Sus scrofa: one gene and its partner. The protein of the gene in region 1 binds, or shares a complex with, the protein of each later gene. Links are inferred from orthologs where the notes say so. Each region holds a gene or a part of one and is shown on either strand. Other genes may lie near its edges. The genes, in order: STAP1 and LAT2.

Region 1 (4,433 bases):
GTAAAAATGGTATTTTACCACACTGATCTTTAAATTCCATCACTAAAAAGGGAATTATACACACTTTCTAACCTCTTGGAACATTATGCATATTGAATGTATGCATGTATGTATGTATGTATGTATTTGCCACACACCTGCTGCATGTGGAAGTTCCTGGGCCAAGGATCGAACCTATACTACAGCAGCCCAAGGTGCTGCATGCAGTATCAGTGCTGGACCATTAACATGCTGTGCCACAAGAGAATTCTTCTGTATATTTTAGTCATAGGAATGAATATTCCTCAGAAAAGCATCACTGCCTTCATTGTAGTATGATTTGGTAGTCAGTATTTTTATTTTCCAGTAAAAAGATCTCATGAGCAGAAACCTGGGACTCCTAGAGGTTTCATTAGTGGAGAGCATGTTTCTGAGCAGCTTCTGAACAAATTTTCCTTCCTTCCTAGGGCCACACCTATGGCGTATGGAAGTTTCCAGGCTAGGGGTCGAGTCGGAGCTGCAGCTGCCAGCCTACACCATAGCCACAGAAACACTGGATCTGAGACATATCTGCAAACTTTGCTGAACCTTGTATCAACACTGAATCCTTAACTCACTGAATGAGGCCAGAGATGAACCTGAGTCCTCTCGAATACTATGTTGAGCTGTTTACCTGCTGAGCAAAGCTTTCTTAACAGGTTGATCATAGATCTGGGGTCTTCACTCCTCACTATGGCTCAGCCAGACACCGTCATTTTAGCTCCTGCCTCAGCTCACTTATGGGTGGTGTCAGGACCTACTTCCTCATCAACCGCTATGTCCGAAGACAGGAATTGGGTCCTCAAAGTGAAACTTTGCCATCATATCTTCCATGAATTTCTGCCCTCCAAACCCAGGTTCCACTGTCATAACCAAGGTGCGAAATACTCAAGTGTAGTTCCTGGTTTGGTAGCAAGGCCAACCTTCCTTCCATTCTCCTGAATGTCTTTAATCAAAGCCCCAAGGTCCTCAGTAGACTCAAGATGAAACATGTATTGACTGGTGCCTGCTACAGCCATTGGCTTTACCCAGTGTTCTGGCCTGGATACCATCATGTGCATGTCAGAGAAATGGTCCTGGCCAAGATGCCTTCAGAGCTTTGTATCAGAGCTTTGCACCACAGTGTGACCAAAGGTGATGCTGGGAACAAAATCCTGTCCATTACCTCCAGGTGCAGATAACTGGCCCCAGAGTCCAGCAATCCAGGGCATTTGGCTCCTAAACTGGCCAGGTTGCTTTTGAGGGTGGATAGCCAATCTTGCAGCTGGACACCATGGTGCTGGTTTCCTAGAGCAAATTACCCAACCCATATAGCTTCTTTGATCTGAACCAGACTCTGGTCAAAATTCACACATTGCATTTGGTTTATGTGTTTCCCTCTCTTGCTCTTAATTTCTCAAGTCAAGTTTATTGAGGTATAATTTACAGCAAAGGTCACCCTTTTTTTAGGGGCACAGTTCTAAGAGTTTTGACAAATACATGGAGTCATATAACCACCATCATCATCAAGGCATAAATTATTTCCATCACTGCAAAAAGTTCCCTCCTGGCTCTTTGGAGTCAATATCTTCTTCCTCATCTGGCCTCATGCCCTGGTAAACAATATCTCTTTCTGTTCTTACAGTTTTATGTAGTCACATACGTGCACTGCTACAGCAGATAGCCTTTGATGTCTGGCTTCTTTCAGATGAAACTTTTGAGGTTCATCTGTGTTGTTGTGTGTCAGTAATTTGTTTTTGTTGCTGAGGAGTATTCCATAGTGTGGGCCCACTATGACTTATTTATTCATTCACCAGTTGATGGACATATTGCCAGATTAAGTCAATTAGAAATAAAGCAAACTTTAAGTTGTGACTGCAGCTATGTTATAATCTCTAGAACAAATTTATTTATTTATTTATTTATTTATTTTTGGCTGCGCTCAGGGCATGTAAATGTTCCTGGGCCAGGGGTGGAACCCATGCCACTAAGTGACCCAAACCACTGCAGTGATAATGCTGGATTCTTAACCTGCTGAGTCACAAGGAAACTCTACAGATTGATTTTTTATTTATTTTTTATTTTTTTGTCTTTTTGTCTTTTCTGGGGCCGCATTCGAGGCATATGGAGGTTTCCAGGCTAGGGGCCTAATCAGAGCTGTAGCCACTGGCCTACGCCAGAGCCACAGCAGCTCTGGATGTGAGCCTTGTCTGCGGCCTACACCGCAGTTCACGGCAATGGAGGATCCTTAACCCACTGACCTAGGCCAGGGATCAAACCCAAAACCTCATGGTTCCTAGTCGGATTCGTTAACCACTGTGCCATGACAGGAACCCCCAGACTGATTTTTGAAATGTCATGGTAAGGTCTAAAATGTTCTTTAATAGAGGAGTTCCTGTCAGTGGGTTAAGGATCCGGCGGATCCCTTGTTGCTGTGGCTCTGGCATAGGCCGGCAGCTGCAGCTATGATTCGACCCCTAGCCTGGAAACCTCCATGTGCTGCGGGAGTGGCCCAAGAAATGGCAAAAGCACACACACACACACACACACACACACACAAAATAAATAAATAAATAAAATTAATTTAAAAAATAAAATTAAATTAATTTAAAAAATAAAATAAAATAAAATGTTCTTTAATAGAATTTTACTAATCACAAATTTGAAATTATCTACAACATAAAATCATAAATAACTAAAAGTTTCTACTTCTTTTTCAAGTTAAATTTCTGTATACCTTTTCCTCCATATACACACTAATACACATAATTCATAAATACATAAACACACACATACCACTTACCTAGGTGCAAGTCAACTGTCATAGCAGTTCATTAAGATTGATCTTGATGTATTTTGGATGTAAAGGGATCTGTAAGGACAAAGTCTGGGTTTTATAAACATTACTCCATCAACTAGCAACCTTATTTTAGGATGCCAAAAATGTGGTGGAGCTATGAAGTATTACGACAGATGCAGAGAGCACTGAAAATTTGGGGTGATGCGGACTCTCCGTAACTTTTTGTTTTCATAAGGGTGCTGCTCCATTTTCTCCCTAGAACAAACCAGTTCATTGCCAACACCCCCTGCATTGCATACCAGTATATGTCATCACATTTCAGGTTCCTCAAAATGCCTCTGAGAATTACTATTTCCAGTAATGGAGGGAAGATGATTGTACATATGGAACTTTACTTCTGTGATTGCACTTGCTAAAAGTTCTCATGGAAAGGTAAAAAGAGTACAGTGATTTAGTGCTCAGTTCTGGAGTCAGAATCCAGGGGTTCACCCCCAGCTCTGTCATTTAATGGGGGTGTGATCTTGGGCAAGTTACTTACAGTCTGTCCCAGTTCTGTTGTCTATAAAATGTTTTCTCATAGGAATGTTCTAAAAATTAAATAGGTTACTGCATGGAGAGTATTTAGGGTAGAACTTGCTGTACACTATGTGCTCAATAAATGGTAGTGTGTGTTATCTATTCCAAATCTGAGACCAAATTATATAATGTAGCACAGTTTACAAAACTTCTACTAGGTCAAGTCTAAAAATCTCCATAATAACACTCATAGCATTATTTATTGAATTCTTGCTATGTTCTAGGCATTTCTACTAGGTCTTAAAAGGAATTAATCCATATCTCAACAACTTTAATGTTATTCCCCTTTTAAAAACAAGAGAATCGAGAAAGTTATAGTTTAATTAACCTGCCCTTTATATTAGTGGAGTAGAGTGGAAGCCAGGGTTGCCTGATTTCAAAGTTAACTTTTAATCCCTCTTCCCTAAAAAAAAAAAAAAAAAAAAAAACTGAGTAGGCGATGACATTTGTTAAAGCATTACAAGTTAAAAAAATCTATTTGCTCAGCTCTTGAAGCTCTTTTTTTTTGTCCTTTTGTCTTTTTAGGGGTGCACCTGTGGCATATGGAGGTTTCCAGGCTAGGGATCTAATCAGAGCTACAGCTGCTGGCATACACCAGAACCACAGCAACGTCACATCCAAGCCCCATCTGCGACCTATACTACAGCTCACGGCAACGCCGGATCCTTAACCCATTGAGTGAGGCCAGGGATTGAACCTGCAACCTCATACTGCCTAGTCAGATTTGTTTCTGCTGTGCCATGATGGGAACTCCTTGAAATTATTGATTAATAAATTTATTCAATAGGTAATGTATTTTATTATGTATTTATTGACTATATTCATTACACTGTACATTTCATACCTGTGATTCATTTATTTTGCAAATGAAAATTTGTATCTCTTAATCTTCCTCACCAATTTCTCCCCTCCTGCCACACCCCTCCCATCTGGGAACTTCCTGTTTGTTCTCTCTATAACTGTTTCTGTTAAGTTTGTTTTTTTGTTTTGTTTTTTAGATTCCACATATAAGTGAAATCATACAGCATTTGTCTTTCTTTGTTTCACTATTTCACAAAGC
Region 2 (4,476 bases), on another chromosome or scaffold:
GACCTGGCGGCCCCCACAGGAGAGAAAGATGACCTGGTCAGCCCAGGATGGTGGCCGAGTGGATCTCGGCCCCCCTCCTCTCGGAGCCTGATCACCGCCCTCTGAGCCCACACACCCTCCTCCCTCCCTCGACTTGGGGGGTCTGCTCCCCGCCCCCGCCAGAGCGTGAGGTTGCGAGCACCTGGCCTTGGAGTGGGGACCCCTGCCCCTGCCTCAGAGTCTCTTGGCCTCAGTTTCCTCCTCTATAAAATGGGGATCAAGCCTGTGTTTCCTCAAACCATTGTTGGGAGGACGAGCATGTCTGGCCTGGCTCAGAAGAGACGTTGCCCAGTGTCTTATTTCCAGCTGCTTGGACGGGTCCCTCGAGCTCCCACCTTTGGCATTTCCATCCTTTGGTCAAGACAGAGACTTTCTGCCCCCGAGGAGATTCAGGCAGAGACACACGGGGAGAGGCTGTCGCACAGATGCTCCCTGCAAGAGCCAGGGGGAGGGTCCAGCCCTGGCCACTCCCGGATTTCGCTTAAGACCCCAGAGCAAGTCCACACCCTTGTCCTGGGGGTTGAGGCCCCAGGACTTGGGCTGCTGACCTCTGCCACCCTCCCTCCCAGAGGACCCCGCCCGTCAGAAAGCCGCCTTGCCTGGGACAAGACGCACACTTCGGGGTGCCCCCAGCCCAAGCCCATTTCTACCCCTGGCCGTGCGTGAGGGAAGGGAGCGGGGCATAAGGTTTCCAATTCTGGCCCAGCATCCCCGGCTTCCGGTTGCCCCTCTGTTAAACCGGGGAAATGACTTTCAACCCTCAGGTTGGTCGTGTGAGGCCCAGCACTGAACTGACGCCTGCCAGGTGCTAGAGCAGGCTAGTGGGGCACAGTTGGCTGGGACCACCATGACTTGCCAGCACCACGGTCCCCAAAGGATGGAAAGCGGCAGCCGCAGCCTGTTGGGGCCAGAGCTGGCTGGACGGCCTGCAGTGAACAGTATGAGGCAACCCTACCTGAAACCTGCCTTGCCTGGTCCCCAAGATCTGCAGGTCTAAGCCCCCTCAACAACTGTCCAACACGGGGGCGGGGGGCGTTGTGCGGGGACCCTGGGAGGGGCTGGGATCTGAAGAGAGTGTGGCCTTTGCCCAGCCCCCCAGTTGTCCAAGACAGGCAGAGCATCACCTCGGAGACGCCAGCTCCTGCCTTCCGAGGGAGGAGAGGGAAGCCCAGAGAGGTGAGTACTCCTTCTGAGGTCACACAGCTGAGCGGTCAGAGCCGGCATCCGCTCCCAGGGTGGGCTGACGCCCGGGCCTACACTCTGCTACGTGAATCCTTCCTTACAGGACGTTTTAAAGATGTACACAATATTTTTTAAAAGACACTCGTTTGAGGAAAACCTCTGTGGCTGCCCCCCAGACGGAATCAATCTGTTCGCTTTCCTCCTTTCCCATCCAGGTCTGAGAGCAGGTGGGCGGGGGACAGGGAGGCGGAGGGGCTGGGCCCCAGCAGAGCCAGGCCTCGCAGCCGCAGGAGGGCCCCTAGGGGCCGGCAGGGCTGGGTGGGGTGGGGAGGGGAGGCCCTCAGCCCGTGGCCTGCGGGGCCAAAATAGCAGAAAGGGAAGTGGGCAGTTTTCATATGAACAAGGTTTGCAACAAGCCGATGGCGGAAAAGCTCTCGGGGCTGGGCTGAGCGAGCCTCAGCACCCACCTCCCGTCCCCAAGGCGCCTTGGTGGCCCTCCTGCCCGGCCTCCCAGCCCTCCTCATGCTGGAGAAGGGGAACCTGGGACCCCTAGGGCCGAAGGGCAGGCTCTGGGGGCTAAGCGGGGAGCCAGAGGTCCGGCCCAAGCCCTGAGAAGGCTTTATCCGCGGGGCTCTGCTCCATTTTCCCAAATGACCTTGGCCTTCCGATGAGGCCAGGAGGACTCCAATGGAGGCTCTTTACGCTCCAGCGGCAGGTGCAGGGGCCCGGACGGCAGCCCTTGTTCTGGGGCAGGGGTGGGGGATGGTGAACAGAGCGGCCACCACGAGCAGCCCAGGGCCTGTAGTTCCTCCAGCCGCACAGGAGCGAGCTGGCTGGGGCTCGGGACGGCCGGGACAGCCGCTTCTCCCTGGCCCAGGGCAGGACCTGGGCCTGCCCGTCTGTAGCGTCTCACCCGACCTCCCATAGCCCTGTGGCAGGGCAGCTCCAGTCCCATTATACAGATGAAGAAACTCAGGCTCACAGGCCTGCCCCGGGGAGCGGCTGCCCTGGGGCTCCCCAGGGCTGTGCGGGCTGGGCTGGGGAAAATGGGGGCAGGAGAGTAGCCGGAGCCCCAGAAATAGCTGCACCTCTAGTGCTGCAGGGTCTGGGGTGAGGGCCCCCTAGCCAGGGGTGCCAGGACAGTGCCGGGGCCAAGGCAGGGGGTGCCGGGCGGCCTGGCTTCTTCCCAGCCCCCACCCCCACCCCCAGCCGGCAGCCAAGTGCTCCTGCTCGGCCAGCGAGGCCACTCCCATCCCCTGTGGGGTGTCTGGGGACAGCTCAGGACCCCTGCCTTGGGGCCAGGCTCCAGGCACCCCTGGGAAAGGCTTACCTGAGAGCAGGCGCTCCTCACTGCGGCCACCTCATCCTGAGCCCACACACCTGCCCGAGCCGATGCCAACGCCACAGACACTGGCGGGCAGCAGGCAAGGCGGCGGGCTTCCTGTCAGCCACTGAATCATCCCTCACACATCCGCTGCTCTGCCGGACAGGCTCGGCTCTCACAGAGGCAGAGACAGAGAGAGACAGAGACAGAGACCAAGACGGAGGCGGAGACAGAGAGAGACAGAGAACAAGACGGAGGCAGTCAGGCAGAGAGAGAGACGTGCACGGACACACACACAACACACACTAAATACACACACACAACCACAACACACACAGGCCTCACAGAGGGGAAGAGACAGAGGGGGACAGGGAGAAAGAGCATGAAATAGGGCTGCTTGCATATCACGCACAGGCAGGGACAAAGAGTGGGAAGACACGGAGAGAGACACGCTGAAAACACAGAAACACAGAAATACACGTCCACACCCATACCCATGGGACATGGGTGGATGGGCGCAGAGAGATGCAAGCCAGGCCAGACATGACAAAGAGCCAGGAGTTCCCGTCGTGGCTCAGTGGTTAACGAATCTGACTAGGAACCGCGGGGTTGCGGGTTCAATCCCTGGCCTCGCTCAGTGGGTTAAGGATCCCGCGTTGCTGTGGCTGTGGTGTCGGCTGGCGGCTCCAGCTCCAGTTGGACCTCTAGTCTGGAAACCTCCATATGCCACCGGTGAGGCCCTAGAAAAGGTAAAAAACAAAAAACAAAAACAATAATAATAATAACAAAGAGCCAGAGGAGTTCCCATTGTGGCTCAAGGGGTTAAGAACCCAACTAGTATCCAAGAGGATGCAGGTTCAAACCCTGGCCCCTCTCAGGGGGTTAATGTTCCAGCGTTACCACAAGCTGTGGTGTAGGCTGCAGATGTGGCTCAGATCCGGCGTTGCTGTGGCTGTGGTGCAGGCCGGCAGCTGCAGCTCCAGCTGGCCCCTGGCCTGGGAACTTCCACATGCCGTGGGTGCGGCCCTCTAGAGAAAAAACAGCCAGAGACAAAGAGAGATGGATGGAGAGGCCACTGAGGTGAAGAGACAACGCTGGAGGATAGAAGGAAGGACAATCCCGGCTCCTCCTTCAGTCCCAGGAGCCTTCTCACCCCCATTTTCCAGATGAGGCTCGTGGAGGCGTGGAGCTGGCCCCAGGCAGGCGGCAGGCCCGGGCCGGGGTGGGGGGAAAGCAGGGCAGTTAGGACCCAGCCCCCAGGCTCTCCACCTGCTGCCCAGCCCCTGGGCACTTCCTTCAGAGGTGAGAACGGTGCTGAGAGGTGGGTGCCCCACACGCAGCACACATTCTCCAGGGCCTCCTGTTATGTGTCACTAAACACCTTGTCCAAGGCCACTGAACTCTTAGTGGCACGCCACCCCATGAGGGTCTCCCAACCCCCACCTGCCTGGCATCTCAGAGCCTGGGCTCCCGAGCTCTGGGGCCCGTCTTGGCTGGGGCGGGGCTTTCAGCCCCAGCCTGGGGTGGCCCGGACGTCCCAGACCAGGCCAGGCAGTCCAGCCGCAGTGGAAGTGCCCCCAGGAGGCCCTGCCAGAACCGAAACAGAAACACAGGGGCTGGGCGCCCTCTGCTGCCACCCTGTGGGAGAGAAGGGTAGCGCAGGGACCCGAGATCCCTGGGCAGAGTGCCAGAAGTTGTCTCCACGGCAAACTGTGACACAAGGACTAAAGCCAACCTTATCTGAATTGCAGAGCTGCACCTGTGACGCACGCTGCCTCCCTCGTTCCACATGGGGCAGTGCAACGTGTAAGGCCCACGGCAACACTTTCCAGGGACACCTTGGCAAGGGCATAGACTAAGAATCCTAGAGGTAAGCTGGTTGTGAACACAGAGTCCAAAGCCTGTTGTCTCTTCACCACCCATGAGTTCAG

Evidence for each region.
Region 2: the proteins of STAP1 (region 1) and LAT2 are in contact, whole or in part, in a crystal structure (PDB 3MAZ), measured with the Homo sapiens proteins. The link is inferred for Sus scrofa from reciprocal best matches to the Homo sapiens genes STAP1 and LAT2. Residues at the interface, in NP_001304698.1 of Homo sapiens: Arg184, Arg203, Pro204, Gly205, Ser206, Ser212, Ile215, Gln217, Ile219, Lys225, His226, Tyr227, Lys228, Glu239, Leu240, Glu241, Tyr255, Phe256, Glu259, Thr260, Arg261, Asn263, Leu264; in NP_054865.2 of Homo sapiens: Asn134, Ser135, Tyr136, Glu137, Asn138, Val139, Leu140, Ile141, Lys143.

The regions. Positions count from the first base shown.
Region 1 is NC_010450.4:65,317,454-65,321,886, reverse strand, and holds the start of STAP1 (signal-transducing adaptor protein 1), read right to left. Parts: upstream 3,027-4,433; 5' UTR 2,801-3,026; intron 1,294-2,800; exon of another isoform or gene 588-1,293; intron 1-587. UniProt on the Homo sapiens protein: In BCR signaling, appears to function as a docking protein acting downstream of TEC and participates in a positive feedback loop by increasing the activity of TEC.
Region 2 is NC_010445.4:11,352,226-11,356,701, reverse strand, and holds the start of LAT2 (linker for activation of T-cells family member 2 precursor), read right to left. Parts: upstream 2,830-4,476; 5' UTR 2,552-2,829; intron 472-2,551; exon of another isoform or gene 390-471; coding exon of another isoform or gene 375-389; exon of another isoform or gene 4-374; coding exon of another isoform or gene 1-3. UniProt on the Homo sapiens protein: Involved in FCER1 (high affinity immunoglobulin epsilon receptor)-mediated signaling in mast cells.